Linked DNA regions of Schizosaccharomyces pombe. Changing the gene in region 2 together with the main gene of any one other region gives a genetic interaction. Each region holds a gene or a part of one and is shown on either strand. Other genes may lie near its edges. The genes, in order: pdp2 and uds1.

What was found.
Region 1: mutations in uds1 (region 2) and pdp2 together harm fitness less than expected from each alone (positive genetic interaction), as found in Schizosaccharomyces pombe (one large-scale study listed by BioGRID).

The regions. Positions count from the first base shown.
Region 1 is NC_003423.3:4,039,066-4,042,992, forward strand, and holds pdp2 (PWWP domain containing protein), read right to left. Parts: upstream 2,105-3,927; 5' UTR 2,058-2,104; coding exon 351-2,057; 3' UTR 109-350; downstream 1-108. Other genes in the region: arginine specific carbamoyl-phosphate synthase Arg4, read right to left, coding at 2,671-3,927.
Region 2 is NC_003423.3:1,564,395-1,568,321, reverse strand, and holds the start of uds1 (septation protein Uds1), read right to left. Parts: upstream 1,958-3,927; 5' UTR 1,920-1,957; coding exon 1-1,919. Other genes in the region: protein meu25, read right to left, coding at 2,552-3,927.

The DNA.
Region 1 (3,927 bases), 2.5 Mb from region 2:
CGTTGAGCGGTAATTATGATTTTTACCATCAAAATACGCCTACAAAAAAAGCAATAAAAGATTGATTAACTTGATTTATAAGCAAGTAAAAACAGTGCAATCCAGTTATTCAGTTCATTAAAGAAATATACATAGCTTTTAAATTATGTTAATTATTCTGTCTAGCAATCATTTAAAGCAAACTGAAGGCTAGAATAATAAGGGCAATTGGCATGTTGTAAGACTATCACAAAAAAAAAAGACAGTCTAAGGTATAAGTTGAATTGAGTTTTTTGTGGTATTGTTAAACACAACTTCCAAAAAATAAAGGTTTATTTGTTTGTTTTAGTTCTTAACGCAAAACATTTTCACTATTTTTGACCAGTTGACAAATCTACTGCTGCTACGCCATCCTCAGGTTCAGCTAGATTTGGAGTTTGTTCGGTACCATCTTCAGCAAAATCTTTACCAGCAACTTCTAAAGAATTATCGGCATCCTTGCTACTTTTCTCTTCACTTATCATGTCTTTTGAAGCATCAGCTGTTTCGTTCTCGTTTTGTGTTGGTCCGTTGGAATCAGCTTTAACTTTATCCTCGTTGTCTTCATTCTGCTTTTGATCCGTGAGCTGTTCAGCTGGTGGAGACGGCGTTGGTTTTGATTCAGAGCCTTCATCAAGAGAAGCTATCTCGGTTTCATTTTCATTTGCTATTGATGCATCCTGTGTTTGTGAAGCATCGGTTGACAGTTGTTTTTGAGATGAAATCTCCTGCAGCAAAGATTTCCATCTGTTCTCCAAAATATCTCCACATATGCTTTTGACTTCGTCCTCATTTTCTTTTGGAAGTCCAGCTAAGGAAAAAATCTTCCTCACGACAACAGCAATTTTAGTTTTCTGGATTAATGGAACATCAATACCTTGGAAGTTTGCGAGCTTGTCTAGATAATTATGAACTAATTTATAGTCGACTTGACTAAGGTCCTGTTTTGGTGATAACAGGCTGCTTTGTAATTTGTGTCGAAGAAACAACAAAGATTGCTCTCGTGAGTGAAAAGTTCTCTTTGCAACGTCTTCTTCATTAGCGACAGAGCCCTCTTCTTCTTCTTTATCCTTTTCTATCTCGTCGGAGGATGCTCTTTTAGATGAAGGGCTTTTCTTTTTAGAAGCAGCAGTACTACGCCGAGGAGAAACACGAGTTTTTTTTGCAGGGTTCGAACTAACGTTTGAGGATGCATTGAGGCGTTTTTGTGGTACGGATTCAAGTGAAGGGTCAAATGTTACGGTTTTTTTCTTTGTACCTTTCCTAGTAATGCGTCTAGCTTTCGTATCATTATAATCTTCTTCTATTGGAGATGGTTCCGACATTTCTTGGTCAGATTCTTCTTCAGAAACTTCTGATTCGGAAGAAGGAACGGACAACGAGTCCAGATCTGGTGTACTTTGAGCCATTTTATAAGCTTTAATCAAACTAGCAGTTTTTGGCTTGGGTTTTTCCAAGAATTGTGATATGGCCTCTGAAGTTAAAGGAGTAAGAGAATCAGATCCTGTCCATAGGTATTCCTTGTTGGGAAAGAAAATTACGGGATAAAATGTTCCTGCACGCTTTGGTTTAGACTTTCTCGCGACGCTGGTCATTTTGCTCTCTGTAACGACCATACTAGGCCACCATGGGAATCCCGACATTTTTGTTAAAACGCGCATTCCAGGCTTATAATTGACGCGTTCAGATTGTTTGGTTTCTTTTCTCGCATTGCCGTTAGACTTCTCAGATTTTTGACTTTTTATATCGCCAATATTATTGGAAGGCTGATCCGTTTCTATAGTTTTCCTATCTTTGGAATCAGATTCCTCTTCCAAACCTTTTGAACTTTTGTCATTTGCTTCCTTATCGTCCAAATCCTTATCATCACCTACATCCCTTTGGATTTTAATATCTTCTGCTCCATTCGAACTGGTGGTTTCGATATTTTTCGAATTGTTAGTTGCCGTTGACATTTCTCGTGATTCAACTGCAATAGAAGACTCTTCTTGTTTTCCAGGATTTTCATCCTTTACGCTTGAATCCTTTATTTCAGTCATTTTACAAAACACCGTATTACCCAAAACGTCCTGTAAAAGGTAAAGGGAAGAAGCATTAATGTGAGATGGTAGACATAATGAGCACGTAGTTCTCACCGTATCATTTCATTAACCGAAGGTTTATTCTAAATAAAATTAAGCGAGGAAGTAAGGATGCTAACGCCATTGAGTTTTACGCTATTGATCAGTAAAAGTTATAATAGTTGGAGATACTAACAAACATGTAGTAGCGGATGTTTAAAGAATTCTAAAGGCTTTTATAAATATTAGGCCCATATAAATGCCCATTACTATTAAAGAACAAAACAAATTAAGATATTAACATTTGGAAATGGACTTGTATTATTTTTTTTTAAGAAAGTTTCTAAAGTAAAAGGAAACAATAATTCAATTGATTTAATGTTTATGTGAAAAATCTAAAGGAGAACGTTTATCGGCAAAACGAGAACACAAAAACAAACCCAAAATACAACCGCTAATTCATCCAAGAAATTAGCAAAATGAAACGAACAGACTATAAATTAAGCAGAAACCACCAACAGTGATTCAATCAAAAAGGAATATTAACAGTCAAATCGCATGAACTCATATATTAGACACTTTAGGCGGCAAACTAAAGATCATGAGATCCGATCCATTCACTCCATCTCTTGACTTCTGATGGCATTTCCTTCTTCTCAGATAAAACGGAAGGGAGCTTCTCCTTCAAGGACTCAACAAACAATTTGGCGCAGTTAACATCATTAATAAGAGTGACGTTGAAGTCAACAGCATTTCTGCGCATCACATAGTCTTGATCCAAAACGTTCTTGCCGCGAGCAGAAGCCAAGTTGAAAACCGAGCGAATATTGTATTTTTCAAATATAGCACGTAAAGCACGCTTGTCCTTAACAGGGAACTCAACGACTTCAGCAGAGGTAGGCTGTAATAATTTAGCAGCATCTTTATTAGCAACGTAAAGTTTATATCCAAGCTTGGAAAGGTCAGCAGCAATACCAGCAAGTTCAGGTCGATCACCACCTAAAAGTATACCTTGACCTGGAAGAGGAATCTTAAAGTTTTGAGTAGACTGAAGTGCAGCCCAATAGGCTTCCTTTACATCCTTACCGAAACAAGCAACTTCACCAGTGGAGCTCATTTCAACACCAAGGTAAGGGTCAGCACCGGCCAAACGTGTCCAGGAGAACTGGGGAACTTTAACGCAAACATAATCACGATGCACAGCCATCAAATCACGAGCAGCTGGTACTTCTTGATCAATAATAGAACGAGTAGCAACGTCAATGAAGTTAACGCCAAGAGTCTTGGAAACAAAAGGGAATGAACGAGAAGCACGAAGGTTACATTCAATAACCTTCAAGTCAGGAGTATCAGGTTTATCAGGGTTTTGGGCCAAGATAATTTGCATGTTGTAAGGACCAGTAATTTGGAAAGCTTTGCATACTTTCTCGGCTATTTCTTTACATCGGCTTAAAATATCTTCGCTAAGTGAGTAAGGAGGAAGGGCGATAGTAGCATCACCAGAGTGAACACCTGCGTTTTCAACATGTTCCGAAACGGCATGAACTAAAAGTTTACCCTTGGAAGCAACAGCATCAACATCGAGTTCCCGAGCACCCTCGATAAACTTGGTAATGACAACTGGATGATCAGGAGAAACAGCTGAAGCATTTTCTAACTTATCCTTTAGACTAGATTCATCGCGAATAACACTCATGGCAGCACCAGATAAAACATAGGAAGGACGTACTAAAACAGGATAACCAACTGCATTTGCAAATTTGCTTGCCTCGGCTACAGACGTAAGCTCTTTCCAAGCAGGTTGGTCAACACCAATTTTGTCTAAAATCTGAGAAAATTTATGACGGTC
Region 2 (3,927 bases):
TTTTGCTTAGGTGCTGGTTGAGTCTCGGAGATGGTTTTCCTGTCATCATCGGAGGAATAGGAAGGACTAGAAATTTCAGAAATTTCATCCTCTAACTGCAAATTTTGTTGAGTGTATGGTCCCATTAATGGCATACCAAAATCAAATGAATTCTCCAAATTGAGGCTTGCAAATATATTCTCCATTTGCAATTGCTTTAGCGTAAGGTTGCTTACAGTAGCAGAGTTCTTCTCCTGAACTTCTTTTTCCATTTCCAAAGTTGTAACGCGAGATTGTAATAACTCATTTTCTCTTGTCAAAGCCTCTAATCTGTTCTGCAATGCATTGTTCTGCTTTATTGCATAATCGGAATCGGGATCATCAGGCTGGGAATTCATAGCCTTTACAACTTCAAGCTCAGCACGTAAGGCAACCATCTCGTCGTTCAAATTTCTAACCTGGTCTTTCGCATAATGATGTGCCTTTATTTGTTGCTCAAATTGCAGTTTGACATGAGAAATCTGAGACAACAGATCCTTTTCTATAAGCTTGGCAGCTTTTTTCTCATTTTCCAATTGCTGGATATTAGACTCCAATTGCAACAAGGACTGCTGTTGCTGATACTTTTCAGAAAGATATACTGAACACTGGGCACAAAGTGTATTCGCCTTATCTTTACTCAGGTTGGAGGTATCCGAATGGTCATCTGCTAGAGATGAATCATACGTACAAGGCATTGTTTCTTTAGGTTTATCGTTATTTTCAGCGGCCTCAGAAAACCCTTCCCTATGAAGGCGAGCCATATGTTTACTCTGCTCTTCAATGATATCTTGAAGCTCCTTAAGCTTTTTCGTATTTTCATCTCGGACACTTGCTAGAAGTTCATTGCTTGAAGCAAGCTCTTTCTTTTGTGTTTGGTATAATGACAATAGATGGTGCAGAAGAAAGCAAAATGATTCAATGTCAAAATCAGATTTCAAATGTTTATCGAGTTCATCATCAGGAAGTGCATTACTCTTCTCTGGCGTATCATTGTCGCCGCGAAACAGCTCAGTAAGTAACCGCCAAAAGTTCACAATAGCGCGAGGAGCAATATCTTTCGCATCAGCATCTTCCTCCAACTTTTTCTCGTATATTTGTTTCAAAATAAGCTCTAAGTGACGAACTTGCTCGAGTAGCCGTTCACCAGCGTTCATTTGTACTGCATCTAGGACAGATGGTTCACGAATTGAATTACCCATTGATTGAGCAATTTCCAGTATACGGCTCATACGCTCTACAAGCTGCTCAATTTCCTCATTGTTCATTATTTCTTCATCTCGAAATCCAGTTGCGCTCTCATCAGCGGTGATGGCAGAAACCGGTGAAGATACCTTGCTACAGCTACCTGGTTTAAGCTCAGCAATGCACACAGCAACCATATGCTTCAATAGGTGCATATAAAATTCTGCAAGTTTCCTTTCAATAAGCCATATCTTAGAAGAAAGTTCTCTAACTCTACGAGAACATTGTTCGTAATGCTCTATCGTACTTTGTTTATGTTTTCCTTTTTTCTCCTTAGCTTGGGCAACCATCAAATTCTTAGCAGCTTCTCTAATTTTGGCTTCGACAGCCAGTTTTTTTATAGAAACACCAAGTAATCCCTGCAGGTTTTTTATTTTCTGTTTTATTTCTTCAACGTCTTTTCCGGAAAGGTACACCCAACCTTTTGCATCTTTAACAGCAGACGCAACTAAAAGGGTTCGCATTTCCTCCTCACCTGTAGATATAGACACATCTTCAGAACTGCTAGCCTTTCCTACATACACGAAAGTGGATAAAAATGGATTGACTGGTCGTGTATTAATTAATATGCTTGAAGAAGGTGGTTCAGGATTCCCATATTTCTCAATTAACTCAGGTTCATATTCATCTGTACTTAAACATCCATGAAACCCCATTTTTGGGTAAAATGGGTAAATGTAAATGTTGAATCTTTTGTTTGTTTACAGCCGCATACGCTTTATTTTGTATGAATTTCGTTTCCATGACAACTAACATTGAAATGTAAATAAACAAAGCACCTAAGCCAACCTATTATCACGTTGCAATGATCGGTCGCTAAGCATTTCATTCTCCAGATTATACGACTATTAAAGTCCCTTTGCAATTTTAGGTTTGTGTATCGGTGGGCTCTGCTGTTTGTTATTTATCGACGTTGAACCGGTATTTTGATCAACATTCATTATGGTGTTTGCAAATAATCCACATTACTTTTTATATGTTAAAAGATTATTTAGAGCATACTTTAACGGTCCTACACTTACATTTATTACCCTATGTGACGAATTCGACCTACACATTTTTACTTAGACCACCTCAAAAAAAGTGATAATATTTTCAAGTATTAATAAGTCAATATTTAGTATATTCGTAAAAACTTTTGTCAAGTTCGTATAGGTTTGTAAATAATGAATGTGCAGATGAAACAAAATTTCGCTTAAAAGGTACACTACCATCCTAGAAGAGATTCCTAGGAACCTCAACACTGAATGGTCGATAACATGTGATAGAAAATTATGTGACAGTACGTTTAAACTTGGTAAAGTAAAGCCTCGTTATCATCAAATGCGACTTTGTTCAAAAACCCTTTTCGTTGTACAGTGCCCAATTCTGGAATGTGCTCAACAGACTTTGCATAATCTAATAAACTATACTGTTTATCGAGATGAACCAAATGTGGAAATAAATAGCCTACAATTTCTAGGTGATGCATGATAAAAAGCCAGTTTTGAGCTGTACGACTAGGTGCTGTGTTTAACAACTTAATAGTGTTTAGGTCATAAGTTGTTAATTCACGATCCACAGACAAAAACGTTTCAGCAGTTGAAGTTTGAACGCAAACAAGGTCAGGGAAACGTTGTACGCAGTGGAAACTAGATATTGGCATAACCAGCAACTTCGGATGACCGATTTTTGAAAAAATAACTTGCTTCTTCCAAAGGGCAAGGTTGGGGTCTAACTCTAAACTAGCAGAAAACTCCGCTAAGTACTTCCAGAGTAGATCTTGTTGTTGATGAGGAAATGAATCGAAATGATCTAGTTCACAAAGGAATTTGCATGGGTTGCTGAGAAGCTCGTTTGTATAATTAGTTTTTTCCTCTTCAGACCAAAAGAAATCAGCTTCCCTTGTCTTTGCTAAGGAGCTTAGCATGATATACCGCTGCTTATGTGCTTCTTTGGGTAAGATCAATGAAATAAGTTTTGTGCTGAAGTAGGATAATTCCCTAATGCTAATGGAATTTTGTTCTTCCTTTTCATTTTCATTTTCAGGATCGTTCAGTTGAATGAAAGATTGCCCAGTATGTTCACTGTCGAAACATAGTAGCAATCGGAGTAAACGTTCTTCTCTACAGCAACGAAAATCCCAACGTGACGAGACCCCTTTAAATTGAAGGACACTAAGTTCCTTTTCTGTATGTTCATAATTGCGTAATTGCAGGATATCGCTTTCATCAAACATAAAGCAATACTCCGCTCTTAACGTGTGTCCAATAACTAGGTTTTCATCATTAGCCAGCAACCCGTATTCATCCAAAATTTGCTTTCTTTCAAATTCATTACCCAGAGAATAGTATGGAGTTCCCAAATCAGTCATAAAGGTCAAGTTGTCATGAGGTTCCGTTCCTTCATTTTCCTCAATACTCTCTAAAGTCGGCACTTTCTTTTGACATTTACTCTTCTTGAACTCTAGAAGGTATTGAGAATATCCGGCGGGATCATCATTTTGTTCTTTTTCGGAAATTTCAACTGTTTCTACTTTTTGATTTGACAATTCTCCATTGTCAACATAAACAGATTCTGTTTCAACAGGATCACTATCAGGAGATAGGCGCTCTTTTCTATTTTCTTCATCGACTGATGAAATGGCTCGAAGGGCCAGAACACGCGGTCCATCTGGAAGACGTT